Linked DNA regions of Macaca mulatta. The protein of the gene in region 2 interacts with the protein of the main gene of each other region in a biochemical or structural test. Links are inferred from orthologs where the notes say so. Each region holds a gene or a part of one and is shown on either strand. Other genes may lie near its edges.

What was found.
Region 1: the proteins of HLTF (region 2) and UBE2V2 form a complex in vitro, tested with the Homo sapiens proteins (2 studies listed by BioGRID). The link is inferred for Macaca mulatta from reciprocal best matches to the Homo sapiens genes HLTF and UBE2V2.

The regions. Positions count from the first base shown.
Region 1 is NC_133413.1:58,595,819-58,603,875, reverse strand, and holds part of UBE2V2 (ubiquitin-conjugating enzyme E2 variant 2), read right to left. Parts: intron 6,084-8,057; coding exon 5,958-6,083; intron 1-5,957. UniProt on the Homo sapiens protein: Has no ubiquitin ligase activity on its own. The UBE2V2/UBE2N heterodimer catalyzes the synthesis of non-canonical poly-ubiquitin chains that are linked through 'Lys-63'. This type of poly-ubiquitination does not lead to protein degradation by the proteasome.
Region 2 is NC_133407.1:52,037,571-52,045,627, forward strand, and holds part of HLTF (helicase-like transcription factor), read right to left. Parts: intron 5,890-8,057; coding exon 5,765-5,889; intron 4,953-5,764; coding exon 4,762-4,952; intron 3,440-4,761; coding exon 3,314-3,439; intron 2,988-3,313; coding exon 2,875-2,987; intron 2,518-2,874; coding exon 2,337-2,517; intron 1-2,336. UniProt on the Homo sapiens protein: Has both helicase and E3 ubiquitin ligase activities. Possesses intrinsic ATP-dependent nucleosome-remodeling activity; This activity may be required for transcriptional activation or repression of specific target promoters.

The DNA.
Region 1 (8,057 bases), on a different chromosome or scaffold from region 2:
ATGGTAGTTAAATAAACATAAGTGATTGCAAATCCTGTGAAATACCAACAGGGTGAAAAAAAAAAAAAAAACACTGGAGGAAAAGAAAAACAAAAAAGATGAAGAGAGAAGACACAGTAAAGAGCATGAGAAAATAAATATCATGTCAGAATAAAATCTGCATCTTATCAGTCTACAACATACAATGACCTCCAAAATGTGAGATCTCACTGCATAAGACAATGAAATTTACACTTCAGAATGCTAACCACCCACAGGGGATAATTTTGCCTCGTCATATTAAATACATATAAACTAAAATTACTAAAGCGACACCCACCATCAATGCCTGTGAACTACAATTCATGAGATACTTAGCCTCGAAATATATAAAACTATCCTGGCACAATCACCAGTGTGAAATTCTGTACCATTTACTAGTTATAAAAGTAATAATCCGGCCGGGCGCGGTGGCTCAAGCCTGTAATCCCAGCACTTTGGGAGGCCGAGACGGGCGGATCACGAGGTCAGGAGATCGAGACCATCCTGGGTAACACAGTGAAACCCCGTCTCTACTAAAAATACAAAAACTTAGCCGGGCGAGGTGGCAGGCACCTGTAGTCCCAGCTACTCGGGAGGCTGAGGCAGGAGAATGGCATGAACCCGGGAGGCGGAGCTTGCAGTGAGCTGAGATCCGGCCACTGCACTCCAGCCTGGGTGACAGAGCGAGACTCCGTCTCAAAAAAAAAAAAAAAAGTAATAATCCAATCTCTTAGATGTAAATGGAAGAGAAAAACAGATGTCCAATATATTCACCCTACCCACAACCCTCTATACACACATCTACACTCCAATAATGATTAAAATCAGTATTTATTTTTCTGTTTCCCAGTCCCCATTCCAGATTGACAGTAAGAAGGGTTGGTGGGAATATACATTCACAGGGTCCTGTTATACGCCACTGGTGGGGCTGACATTGACCTGGCCCTGCGGAGAGCAGCTTGGCAATATTCAAGCTGAAGAAAGCCCCACGCCACGGCACACTTCTAGATGTATTCCGAGAATAGCGCTACTCAAGGTATGTCCATGGAAAGGGGCAGGCCACGAACTGAATTCTACTGGTCCTTGACAAGAAAAACATTGCAATTGAGAGTAAGAATTTAGAAAGTTTTACAGCAATCTGACGGAGAACATTTTAATTTAAAAATTTTAAACTTGGCTAGACATAGTGGCTCACGCCTGTAATCCCACCCAGCACTTTGGGAGGCCGAGGCAGGCAGATCACCTGATGTCAGGAGTTTGAGACCAGCCTGGCCAACGTGGTGAAACCCCATCTCTACTAAAAATACAAAAATTAGCCAGGCGTGTTGGCGGGCACCTATAATCCCAGCTACTTATGAGGCTGAGGCGGGAGAATCACTTGAACCCAGGAGGCAGAGGTTGCAGTGAGCTGAGATTGTGCCACCGCACTCCAGCCCGAGCGACAAGAGCAAAACCCCATCTCAAAAAAAATAGGAAGGGGAAACAAGAGAAAGCCACACACAGAATTAACTCTATTTATAATGTAGTCTTTGTACCAGTAAGAAAAAAATCTGGGCGGGCAGGGTGGCTCACACCTGTAATCTCAGCACTTTGGGGGGCCGAGGCGGGTGGATCATTTGAGGTCAAGAGTTTGAGACCAGCCTAACCAATATGGTGAAACCGCATCTCTATTAAAAATACAAAAAAATTAGCTGGGCGTGGTGGCACATGCCTGTGGTCCCAGCTACTTGGGAGGCTGAGGCAGGAGAATTGCTTGAACCCAGGAGACAGATGTTGCAGTGAGCCAAGATCGCGTGACTGCACTCCAGCCTGGGAGACAGAGTGAGACTCTCTCAAAATAAAAAGAAAAAAATCTGTTACAAATAAGACAAATGTTAACATTTGACAAAGCTAGGTGGAGGACACATAGATGCTGGTTCTATCATTCTCTAAAACTTCCTCTATTATATTAGAAACATTTCTTTTAAAATCAAAAAAATAATAAATTTATAGTAAGTGCAACAAAAGAATAAGAGTGACTATAACAGAGCAATAGAAGGGACATAACTCAAGTTGGAACATCAATAAAGAGTTCTGTTAAAAAGTGGAATTTAGGCTGGGTGCGGTGGCTCATGCCTGTAATCCCAGCACTTTCGGAGGCCAACGCGGGTCAGGAGTCCGAGAACAGCCTAGCCAACATGGCAAACCCCCATCTGTATTAAATTAGCCAGGTGTTGTGGCACACACTTGTAGTCCCAGCTACTTCGGAGGCTAAGGCAGGAGAATCACTTAAACCCAGGAGATGGAGGTCGCAGTGAGCAAGACAGTGCCACTGCACTCCAACCTGAGTGACAGAGCAAGACTCTGTCTCAATAAAAAAGAAAGGGGAATTTACAGTGAGAAATGAAGGACCCATAGGAGTTAGCCAGACTGTGGAGGAAGGAGGAAGAGCAGAAGTGCAAATGTCTTGAGACCAAACGAAAGGCATGCAAGCCAGTGTGCACCTTGAGCATTCCCACCCAGTGAGCCATGGCAAGAAGCAAGCATGCTGAGGCTGATGCCCCTAAAGGAATCTGAAGTGCAGAAATGACATGACACAATTTGTCTCTTAGGAGGATCCCTCTGGCTGCTAACTTTGGAAAGATTGGAAGGGATTTTAAAAAGCAGAATCAGAGATGTTGTTGCAAGAGTCCAGGAAATAAATGATGGCCAATATTCACTTGGTGGCAATGTAAACAGAAAAACAAGACCTAAATCGAGTTACAGTTGGAACATAAAACTGACAAGGCTTAATGATAAATGGGTTGGGAGAAGGGAGGTAGAGAGGGATGCAAAATATCAACTAATGGACCAAAAGCCCAGGAGATCAGATAAGCTTATTAGAGGTAGGTCTGAAATTTAATCTAAATTTCCTAGCTTCCATGACAATGTAGAACACACCATTGGTTACTTAATTTACAGCAACTATAATGTAAAAACAAACCAGTAGTGGAGAAAAACAGATACATCTAGTAGCAAAATCTAACAAAGATCTTCTTCATAAAGGCAATGCTGTGCGTCACACAGGACATTCCCTAAATAATATCCTTTCTGTGTACTCATATGCTTTATAATCCTGCTGCTATCAAATTTCTTAAAAATAGATAAGTGTGGCCGGGCGCGGTGGCTCAAGCCTGTAATCCCAGCACTTTGGGAGGCCGAGGCGGGCGGATCACAAGGTCAGGAGATCGAGACCACAGTGAAACCCCGTCTCTACTGAAAATACAAAAAATTAGCCGGGCGCGGTGGCGGGCGCCTGTAGTCCTAGCTACTCAGGAGGCTGAGACAGGAGAATGGCGTGAACCCAGGAGGCGGAGCTTGCAGTGAGCCGAGATCGCGCCACTGCACTCCAGCCTGGGCAACAGCGTGAGACTCCGTCTCAAAAAAAAAAAAAAAAAAAAAAAAAAAGATAAGTGTACATAATTTCTAGAATAACCACTGAAAGAACACAAACAGAATGAAAGAAGTTGAGAACAACCATTCCAAAAGTAGGCAAGAAACATGCAGAAAAACAGAAACCACCAACTAAGATGATCTATTTAAACCTGAACATGTAAGTAATTATGTATATTAAATGTAAATAAGGCCGGGCGCGGTGGCTCAAGCCTGTAATCCCAGCACTTTGGGAGGCCGAGGCGGGCGGATCACAAGGTCAGGAGATCGAGACCACAGTGAAACCCCGTCTCTACTAAAAATACAAAAAATTAGCCGGGCGCGGTGGCGGGCGCCTGTAGTCCCAGCTACTCAGGAGGCTGAGGCAGGAGAATGGCGGGAACCCGGGAGGCGGAGCTTGCAGTGAGCCGAGATCGCGCCACTGCACTCCAGCCTGGGCAACAGCGTGAGACTCCGTCTCAAAAAAAAAAAAAAAAAAAAAAAAAAAAAATAAATGTAAATGGACTAAATGCTCCCAGTAAATCACAAAGACTGATCAACTGAGGACTGTGAGGGCTAGAGAGACTGTCAGGTCCCAGCTCTGAGTTGGCACAGGGGTGGGCAGTGGGAGGGGTGTGGGGGGTGTTAATGGCCCAGCAGGTGCAGGGCTAAGGTTTCCAATGACCTTTTCCCACCTTCTTCCTTTCTCAGGGTCATGCTTTATTTGGCCTGGTGCCTCCCTGCTGGACGCACCAGCCAATCTGGGGCCCTGCCTCAGACCTGGGAATTACGTTGGGGATGAGGGGCAGGGAGCTGGCTGTGAATCCAAGATTCAACTTGTTGCCAGAAATACAGTTATATGAAGGGGAAATTGAGTAAATAAGTAAATGCATTGGGGAGCATGGGAGCCAGGTTTCTCAAATGGAAAGGAAGAATCACAGAACAAACCCTATAGTCTTAGAATAAAATTAGTGGGAGTTGTTAGTATAAACTCGTGGTTTTTAACAGATGGTAAATAGATGAGAAGGAAAGAGAGAAGGAGAGAAGAAAGGAGGATGAATTTGTGTACATATGTGATACATTTGTAGTACAAAATACACTGGTAGAGAGAGGAAACACAGGGATGGGATGAGAAATCAAGGATACTGAGATCCTATTTCCTAAGATGGATGATACTAATTTTATGATGATGATATGTTATTTTGCTTCCTAAAATGTATTTTGTATGTGGTGTGCTCTCAACATGGCACCAAGAGAGCCTAGGCTTCAAAGACTTATCATGAACTTAACAATCTACTCATATTGGAAATTCAGCTGTTTCTACTAACTAACTTGTGTGGGTCAAGCAGGGCATGTCATTTTGTTTAAAGAGACAATAGGCTGGACACAGTGGCTCACGCCTGTAATCCCAGCACTTTGGGAGGCCAAGGTGGGCGGATCACTTGAGGTCAGGAGTTTGAGTCCAGCCTGGCCAACATGACAAAACCCCATCTCTACCAAAAAATATAAAAATTAGCTGGGCTTGGTGGCATGTGCCTTGTAGTCTCACGTACTTGGGAGGCTGAAGTGGGAGAATCACTTGAGGCCAGGGGAAGTGGGGGAGTACCACTGCACTACAGCCTGGGGGACAGAGTAAAACCCAAAAATAAACAGACAATGATGCTCAGCCATGATTGTTTCAACACAGATACACTTGCTCCTCAAAGAAAAAACCCTTTATGAATATTCATCCTTTTCATGAATAGTCATCCTTTTAATCCCACCAAGTGTACCTTAAACCTCAGAAAAGTAACATTCAAAGAGAAATAATGATCATCTTTATTTTTGACGGCGTTTCACTCTTTCGCCCAGGCTGGAGTGCAGTGGCACAATCTCTACGGGAGTGAGCACCATGCCCCGCCCAATAATGGTCATCTTTTTACCAAATAAAGATCAACTGAAATATGACTACTAAGGCAATTAAAACCCTAAGAAAACTTTTGGCCAGGCACAGTGGCTCACATCTGTAATCCCAGCATTTTGGGAGGCCGAGGCAGGCGGATCACCTAAGGTCAGGAGTTCGAGACCAGCCTGGCCAAACACTGTGAAACCCCGTCTCTACAAAAACACAAAAATTAACCGGGCATGATGGTGGGTGCCCGTAATCCCAGCTACTCGGGAGGCTGAGGCAGGAGAATCGCTTGAACCCAGGAGGCGGATGTTGCAGTGAGCCGAGATCACACTATTGTACTCCAGCCTGGGCGACAGAGTGAGACTCTGTTTCCAGAAAAAAAAAAAAGAAAGAAAAAAAAAAGTTTTAACCACCACATACATCTATTCCAGGCAAGCACATTAAGGTTTTTAAGGATGGCCTAATTTATATTAATAAAATAAAAACAACATAATGCAACCTTCTTTAGACTTCTGGCTTAACAAAAGTCCTCTTTTAAAAACTTTCTCCTAACTACATATTAATATCTTACACATATTATGCTGTGTGTATGTATAATTAACATATAACTCTATACATTATGTTATATAAAACCAATATGACTATATTAACTTACCATCCCACTGGAATTATTTATTCCATTCATATTAATTTTTGTTACAAATCTAACTGACGGAGGAGCTTCTGGGTATTTAGGTCCACATTCTACTTTCAGGCTATATATTCTGTTTTCATAATTTGTCTGGAAGGCAAAAAACAAAAAGACAATCAAAATAACAATACCTAAAATATTAATGTCTAAGTGCTAAAAAAAAAAAAAAAGGAAAAGTACAATATGAATGTACTTGATAAGACACTGTTTATGATTAAGAATTTATTTTTCCACATTCAAATTTATTTCACCTCTATGGTGAGAAAAAATGCAATAAGCATACTTAAAAATTGAGATTTTACAAAATTAATTGCATGAGATCTTCCCAAATTAATTCTACAAAGTATTATCAATATGATCACAACTTGCTTTTGTGATAAAAAATGATGCCTGTAACAAATTAGAAGGAAGAAGGAAAAAGGAAAAACCAAACCACTTAAATTTAGATTTTGCTAAAAAGTTTACATTGTAGAGGGAGGGGCTACTTGAGACTTGTGTCAAACATATATGAGGTTTCTGTTTTACACAACAGTTCTGCTTATTCCTATTGTTCCAGAATTGACTATTAATAGTGCCTGTTTTCATTCTCAAAAGGGTCTTGTTGGATAACAAATTATATGATCATCCTACTTAATATGGCAATCAATAACTTCTAGCAAAAAAGAAAACCCCACATTATACCATTGTGCAGCAATAAAACATAATTATTTTATGTCTCCTGTTAGTTACACTTACGTTGCTACTTCATTAATTTTGAGGTTCATTAAATCCCATTATCTGAATTCAGAGAAACAATAGCAAACTTTATGTTTACACATCATTTTCAAATAGGTATCAAACTTAAAGCTTCTAGATTATCCAGGGCTTATTTTCATGCCTATAAATTAGCTCTTCTTTCTCCTATAGCTTTTGTTCACTTGGTTAACTTATTAGTGTACCATTAAAACAGCAAAGTAAAAAATAAACGAATCCTTGACCGGGCGCAGTGGCTCAAGCCTGTAATCCCAGCACTTTGGGAGGCCAAGATGGGCGGATCACGAGGTCAGGAGATCGAGACCATCCTGGCTAACACGGTGAAACCCCGTCTCTACTAAAAAATACAAAAAACTAGCTGGGCGAGGTGGCGGGCGCCTGTAGTCCCAGCTACACGGGAGGCTGAGGCAGGAGAATGGCATAAACCCGGGAGGGGGAGTTTGCAGAGAGCTGAGATCCGGCCACTGCACTCCAGCCCGGGCAACAGAGCAAGACTCCATCTCAAAAAAAAAAAAAAATACCAAAAAAAAAATAAATGAATCCTCACCTTGACTCAATTAAAAAGAAAAAAATTGTTTTAAAAAGAATTTATAATTATTGAAATTTTAATAAATTTTCTAAATTATAATTAAAATAACATAAAAATATATACATAAATAAATGAAAGTGAAAAATTTAATACCTGCTGGCTGCTGAATAAGACCAGAGAGGGAGGAAGCTAATCAACCATCTACAGATCTCACCTACTCAAACTGATCCCGTCCCCATAAACAAGAACTATCCAAATGGAGGTCAGATTTGCAGTATTAAACTACTCTAATGTAAAACCTATGCAACAATCTTATATGTATGTTATTAAATATTTCAATATTTTTAAGAAAAAAAGCTATATAAAACTTATCTGAGATTAATAGCAAGCAAATATTAATAATATCCCCAGCACTTTCAATATATAAAAATGACTAAAATCAGATAGATCTAAAGATTATCTTGGCTGTGGTTCTCCAATCTGGATGCATATCAGACACCCCTATGATAGAGCAATTCTTTTTTTTTTTTTTTTTGAGACGGAGTCTTGCTGTCGCCCAGGTCGGAGTGCAGTGGAGCGATCTCGACTCACTCACTGCAAGCTCCACCTCCCGGGTTCACGCCATTCTCCTGCCTCAGCCTCCCAAGTAGCTGGGACTACAGGCACCCGCCACCACGCCTGGCTAATTTTTGGTATTTTTAGTAGAGACGGGGTTTCACCGTGTTAGCAAGGATGGTCTCGATCTCCTGACCTCATGATCTGCCCGCCTCGGCCTCCCAAAG
Region 2 (8,057 bases):
CAAAAAAAATTAGCCGGGCGTGGTGGCGGGCACCTGTAGTCCCAGCTACTCGGGAGGCTGAGGCAGGAGAATGGCGTGAACCTGGGAGGCGGAGCTTGCAGTGAGCCGAGATCACGCCACTGCACTCCAGCCTGGGTGACAGAGTGAGACTCCATCTCAAAAAAAAAAAAAAAAAAAAAAAAAGAATAAAATGGTGCAACAATGAAAAGGGAAGAATAACCAAAAAGATACAGAACTCTGGTAAGTGGTTTTTAAATAGTATCATGAATCATGAATTGTTTGGATAAGGATCATTAAATTTTAAATTAAAACTACAAGTGTTTTTTTTTTTTTTTTTTTTTTTTTTGAGATGGAGTCTTGCTCTGTAACCAGGCTGGAGTACAGTGGCGCGATATACTATATTTTTGTATAGTAGCCATAAAATACTGCAACAAAGGTTTAAAACTTTATCCACAGTACTAAAGAAAATACAACAGACCGGCCGGGTGCAGTGGCTCACGCCTGTAATCCCAGCACTCTGGGAGGCCAAGGCAGGTGGATCACGAGGTCAGGAGTTCAAGATCAGCCTGGCCAACATGGTAAAACCCCATCTCTACTAAAAATACAAAAATTAGCCAGGCATGGTGGCAGGTGCCTGTAATCCCAGCTACTCAGGAGACTGAGGCAGAGAACTGCTTGAACCCAGGAGATGTAAGTTGCAGTGAGCCAAGATCGCGCCACAACACTCCAGCATGGGCGACAGAGCAAAACTCCATCTCAAAAAAAAAAGAAAAAGGGGGAAATACAACAGACCATACCATATCCACGATATTCACCCATGAAGGCCTAAGTATGATGACCCGAGTTATAATCTTGCTGAGGATACCCAATCTTACTGAGAAGGATACCCTCAGTGGAGGGAGGAAAAAGGAAGCCTCAGTAAACATATATGCATCAACAAGGTAGCCTCACCCAAGTAACTAAAATTTGTATCTCAGTAGAATTTCTACATGTTAAAAATCTTCTGAGTTTCAGGCAACAAGCTACAACCACAAATCTTAAGTCTGAATGCACAGAAACAGCAAAGGTTGCCTCTAGCCCACATAGTACCTAGTGCAAATTAGAAACTGAATTAGTCCAAGGTCCTTTCAAGCCAAACAGCCCCTCTGTACATGTAGAAAAACATGTTCCTATGTGAAAGCAGGTCCAGGTGACACAGCTTGGTGAGTCAAGTTCAAAGTGAATTTTAGCCTCTGTTCTACCCTTATGCCTGTACTACACACAACCACAAGTGACTGCACTGTATTAGGCATTAAAATGTACTCAGAACATTCCATTAATGACCATTTGTTTCTCAAATTGTGATCCTAGACCACCTATACCTGAATCACCTATGATATGCTAAAAATGCAGCTTCCTGAGTCTAATCCTAGAACGCCTAAGTCTCTAAGTTAAATGCAAAAGAAATTGCATTTACCTAATTTGTATGCACATTAAAGCTTAAGACCACTAGAACCATGATGGTAGTCATTTTGTCTATCTTGTTTATAATTAGATTCCCAGTGCCTATAACAACTGACACAAAGCAGGATCTCATTATTTGTCAGCTGAATGAACCACTACCCTAAAAAGCATTATGGTTAATAAAGATTTATTATAGAAGAAAAGTAGAATAGCATAGCATAATAGTACTTAAATACATGGACTATGATTCTGGTTTTGCCCATTAAACTGTGTGATACTGGGCACATTATTTACTTTTCTGTGCTTCAGTTGCCTCTTCAGTAAAACAGAGCTTTTTTTTTCTTTTTTTTCTTTCAGAGACGGGTTCTTGTTCTGTCACCCAGGCTGGAGTGCAGTGACAGGAACATGGCTCACTGAAACTTCAACCTCCTGGGCTCAAGCAATCAGTCTTTCCGACTCAGCCCAGCAAGTAGCTGGGACTACAAGCACACACCACCACACCCGAGTAACTTTTCTGGTACTTTTTTTTTTGTAGAGATGGGGTTTTGCCATGTTGCCATGTTGCCCAGGCTGCTCTCAAACTCCTGAGCTCAGGCAATCCATTCACCTTGGCCTCCCAAATTGCTGGGATTACAGGCATGCGCCACAGCGCCTGGCCAAAACACAGCATTTAATAATGGTTATCTACCTCATAAGGATGTTGTGAGGATTTCAGTAAAGTGCTTAAGAGAAAGCTCTTAATCTACATTTACTAAGTTTTTGTTATCTATTTCTAAAGTTTGCCTAAGAATATTCACAGTTAATTATAACTATGAAGGTATTTACCACTTTTTTTTTGTCTATTTTTTTGAAAGAAGTACTAAGGTTCTGAAAAAATTTACAAAACTACTTACTGGATCCATTAAAAACACTCGAGAAGCTGCAGACAGATTCAAACCAACTCCACCTGCTTTTAAGGACAGAAGCATTATAGTTGGAGATCCTGCTTCAGTGTTTTGAAAACACTGAATTGATTCAACTCTTTTCTTTTGGGCCATGGAACCATCCAAACGAGTAAACACAAATCCAGAGGCTCTTAATGGGGGAAGAAAAGAAACAAGCAACAAACACTATCATTATAAAAATAAAACAGAGTTAAGTAACCACAAATCTCTTCAATAAAGTCTTTCACTCATTTATGTTAACAAATGTTTACTGAACACTTATTAATATGCTAGACACTGCAGTCAGTCATTTTCTGATAAATTCAGGACTTAATCTTTAAACTCCTGTGCTGCCAGGAAGTATTCTCTATTGTGACTCTCAGTATCTTTCAGATAAAATGACTAAAACTGGCAAAAGAAATAAGCTTTTTATTTTTTTTTTGCTATTCAAATCAATACAATCATATAAAATCCTTTTACTGAAAGTGAAAAACACCGTGGAACTTACTTAAGTGGTATTTCTATTAAAGACAGGAATGTTGTAAACTGAGAAACAACCAAACTTTTTATGTTGGGATTCTTCTTTCTTAAGTCAGTCAATGCGTGCATTAGCGCATTAATCTGAAAAAATATTAAGATGTCCGTTAGATTCCATTTTAAATCAGTAAAATTAGTCTGAAAGTTTTTATCATAAAGTCCTGAAATATTATTTCCCTAAAATGCAAAAGACTACTCATTTAAAACAAAGAATTAAGACTGAAAGAACACTATAATAATCTGAACCCATTCTATTTCCTCTCAAATTCACCACTAAGAATAAACAGTGGTCAACAACAGAATACTAAAATGACAGGAATGAAAGCAGAATTATGATTTTGATATACTGTGTATATTTCCTTATATAAAGGTTAAACAAATACTCAAATATTTGCACCTGAGTACTCTACCTTTGAACTGGATGTCCATTCCATATCAGACTTTTTCTCACTGTCACATGCTAATTCTTCTGGAGGACATTCTAATAAATTATCTTCATGTATATCATTTCTGCATAAAGGGCATTTAGCATGTGGCTATATAAGAAAGAAAAAAGTATGAGCAACACTTAACAGAAGAACAAATATAAATATGCCTAAAAATTTTTAAATGTATGCTAAAATCTGTATCTCTTATAGCTAACATTTTATTAAACCTTTTAATAGATTTCATCCATTTAAGAGACATCTGAACCTGCTGAATTCCAGACATGTGATAAGTAGAATGGGTAAAGGAGGGAGCAAACATATGTGATCTGGACTAGCTAGAAGCAACAGCAAGAAACTAAACATTATAACGTTTGTAAGCAAGTTTAAAAAAAAGTCATGAATAACAGTTTATTGAACCTAAATACAATAGAGCTACACTATTTAGTACTATTCTTAAAAAAAAAAATCCATCTTAATGGCTTATAAAGCTATTAAGCTTATAAAGCTAATAACAGCTTATAAAGCTACTAGGATCTGTTAAATCCTATCAAGTTCATTCCAAAGCAACATCTGTTGTACCCATTTGAACTTGCTAATAAAATATCTTAAATAACTATATATAAAACACCATTACAATAAAATAATTCTGAAGGTAAAATTATTTAAAAGTCAGTACAATGGGGTTACTTTTGGGGAAGAGGGAGAGGGTAAATGATTGGGAGGGGCCACAAGGGGACCTAGGCAGTAGATACAGGAATATATTTACTTCATGATAATTCACTGAGCTATTTAATCATGAATTTATACATTTTTTCTACATATATCAATTTAAAATGTTTAAAAAAATTCTACCCTAGCTGAATGACTGCTTAACAAACTAGTCTACTTCAAAAAAATTCAACCACACAAAAGAATCTAGACCTACCTTATCCAACACAATAGCCAATAATCACATGGGGCAATTAAGTCCTTGAAATGTGGCTAAGCCAAATTGAGGTGTGCTATAAGTATACACTACCACCAAATTCTGAAGATTTAGTTTTTTGCAAAAAGCACATCACATTAATACTTTTTATATTTTAGATATACTGGGTTAAATACAAATGTATTAAAATTAGCTTAATGTTTCTTTTTACTTAAGAGTATGACTACTAGAAAACTTAAAATTACCTTTGTGTCTCACTTTATCAATCCATTTATTGAACAGCAATGATATAAACAGTTAGTGGAATTAAGATATTGATTGTGAACATCTTTTTATGTTGAAAGTGTTGCATTAGGAGAAATATATCACTTATTAAAATACTGGAATAATTAACTATCAAAGGTGTATTATTAAATCCAATTGTAAAACTCCATATATTATCTTTTATTAAAGACAGGTACACTACCCTATCAAACACTGAACCTCTACTGAGCAAAAAACTAACCTGCTCATTCTGAATGACTTGGCAAATACAGGGTTTACAAAATACATGTGCACAATGTGTTATCACAGGAACTGTTAAAGAATCCAGGCAAATTGCACATTCTTCATCTGAACCTGAGCTCAGAATTAACTTCATCTTCCTTATTAACTTCTTTCTCAGTTCTTCAGGTGTATCATTTCCTAGAGAAAAGGCTGAAAAATTAATGTCAGAGCAAGGTTTGTAATATGACAAGTTAATCTACCTTATATAAGGAAAAGTTTCGCTTGCCAGTAGGGAAAGTCTCTCATCATTTTCTGTCACAGGCAAAAAGCATAATTTAAATTTGAAATTTAAGAAACATTCAGAAGCCAAAATAGTAGCCAACTCACGTAATATACCTCATAGAGAAGCATCATTATAACATGATAGTGACATACCAGCACACAATAAAAGGCAGATCCAATATGAATCTTTCATCAAAGGGTATCTATCACTGGAATTCCTGGAAAGACCTCATTATAATTCCATTTCACTGGTAAAAAAAATTATTGAATATATTCCTAGCTGAGTCTCACACTAAAAGCAATCTCCATTTGACAGAACAAAATAACAAACTAAATGTATGCTACATAAAAAAAATTGATCATTCTGGGCCAGGCGCGGTGGCTCAAGCCTGTAATCCCAGCACTTTGGGAGGCCGAGACGGGCGGATCACGAGGTCAGGAGATCGAGACCATCCTGGCTGACACGGTGAAACCCCGTCTCTACTAAAAAATAAAAAAAAAAAACTTAGCCGGGCGAGGTGGCGGGCGCCTGTAGTCCCAGCTACTCGGGAGGCTGAGGCAGGAGAACGGCGTAAACCCGGGAGGCGGAGCTTGCAGTGAGCTGAGATCCGGCCACTGCACTCCAGCCTGGGCGACAGAGCGAGACTCCGTCTCAAAAAAAAAAAAAAAAAAAAATTGATCATTCTTATCTAAGTATCTCTGACAAATAACAATGATATGAAGCAATCAAATTTACCTACCTGAGGGGCCACTGGAAGACACTGCATTTGTAAGAAGGTAAGTATGGCAACAAATTTGCCGCAATCTAAGCAAAAGACCCAGGACATCTGCATAATGTGCCAAGACAGTCCCTTCATTAAAATACCTAGAGATTAAAATGTCAAATATTACTAAGTCCGCTAAACAATAACTTCCTATTCTAAAACAGCAGCGTAAAATGGCATTGTTCTTTTCTTCTCTAGAAATTACTCCAAAACAAGAATGAAAAACAGAAAAACAAACTCTAATAAAATCAGGAGAGATCTTTAACAATAAGGCACAATATATGAGAAATGGTTGCCAATTGCAGTATAAGTCAGATAGGAAGATGCTGAGAGAGATGACTGCAGATCTCAAACAGAGCTGCCAAAACATAATTCTTTAAAATGGATGGCATGCCCTGAGGAGAAAATCAATACCTCTCATGTGCAGAAACAGGAACAGGGTGCATGCTTGGTGACTTGAGCTTCCCTGGAGAAATTTTTATCAAAAAAGAGGGAAGGTAAACTGAACACAGAAACATACAGATGCGCTGTGTTTTTCAAAAAAAGACTATGGGCACAGCACTCTACACTCCAAGCACCCCTAAAGTTTCTGATCTCTATTTATGTGTACTAATAAAACCTAAAGTAACTCAACATGTAACCCTGACTCTTAAGTAAATTGGGTTATTTCCTGCTGGTCTGGGACATGATTATGACCTTTCCCTTTACGTACATCTAGACTAGCAAGCAGCTAGTCCAAGAAGAACTCAAGATATTCAAATATAAGTAATAATCAGCAGAGAGCAAAGGTAGGGAACACATGGCAGTGAAAGAAAACTCAGCAGAAAAATGTTGCCACAGAGCAAATAAAAATTATGACTAAAGATACTGTCACAATTTAACACCACTCAATAAAACAATTCCTCCAAAAAAAAAAAAAAAAGAGAAAAAGAGCTTTGAAAAAATATGGCAAGAGAACATAAAGAGCTGAAAGATGAGCTGGTATGGCTCAAGAAAGTGAAAGAAAATAGTGAATCATCAGAGAAATGAAAGTCACACTGAAACCAATATAAGCCAATATAAAAAAAGACTAGTCACTGATAAAAACATAGAAAAAGGATGTAGGAAACAGGATTGAGAAAATCAAGATTAAACACAAAAATGTAAAAGTTCAGAAATAAAATGATACCTATGGAACGCAGCTAAAAGACATCTAACATACACAGAGAGAAATAAAATAATGGAGCAGAAAACAATATTTAAAGAAAGCTTTCCAGGAAAAAGAAGAGGGGAAAAGCCTGGAATCTAAAGATTTAAATAGTATCACATGTCCCAGGGAAAGTCAACAGAGAAGTTGTTGAACTTTAGAGGAAAAAAACAAACAAACCAGGCTTCCCCACAGAAACATTCTATACAAAATACAGTGGTACAATGACAATGTAGATTCTTGGCCGGGCGCGGTGGCTCACGCCTGTAATCCCAGCACTTTGGGAGGCCGAGGCGGGCGGATCACAAGGTCAGGAGATCGAGACCACGGTGAAACCCCGTCTCTACTAAAAATACAAAAAATTAGCCGGGCGCGGTTGTGGGCGCCTGTAGTCCCAGCTACTCGGGAGGCTGAGGCAGGAGAATGGCGTGAACCCGGGAGGCGGAGCTTGCAGTGAGCTGGGAACCGGCCACTGCACTCCAGCCTGGGCGACAGAGCGAGACTCCGTCTCAAAAAAAAAAAAAAAAAAAAAAAAAAAAGACAATGTAGATTCTTAAGGAAATGGGCGATCCAAAAATTATATAACCAGGCCATCTGATATTTAAGTATTTTAAGGCAACAGAAGAAATACAGCCTAACGACTTGGAGTACAAATTTTTAGAGCTAGCTGGTCATGAATTAAAAACTTGGCTGTGCCAATTTAATTATGTAACCTTGGACAGGCTGCTTAACCTATGTCTTGAGCTTCCTCAGTCGTAATAGTGGCACTGTAAAAGTACCTACCTCATACAACTACTATTATTTAATTTAACACATGTGAAGTATTTAAAATAGTGCCTGGAATATATTAAGTGCTATACATGAATCTGCTGCTAGTATTAGAACTGTTAGTATTATGGCAACAAACACTTCTGAATATTCAAGAATGCAAGGAATAGGCAAAATAATACAAAGATTAAACTTCCAAGCTCCAAACCCAACTGCCAGAGTTTAAATATCAGTCCTGTCATTCACTAGCTGTGTGACAACAGTATAAGTCACCTAAACTGCTCTGTGCCTCAGTTTCCTCATTTATAAGATGTG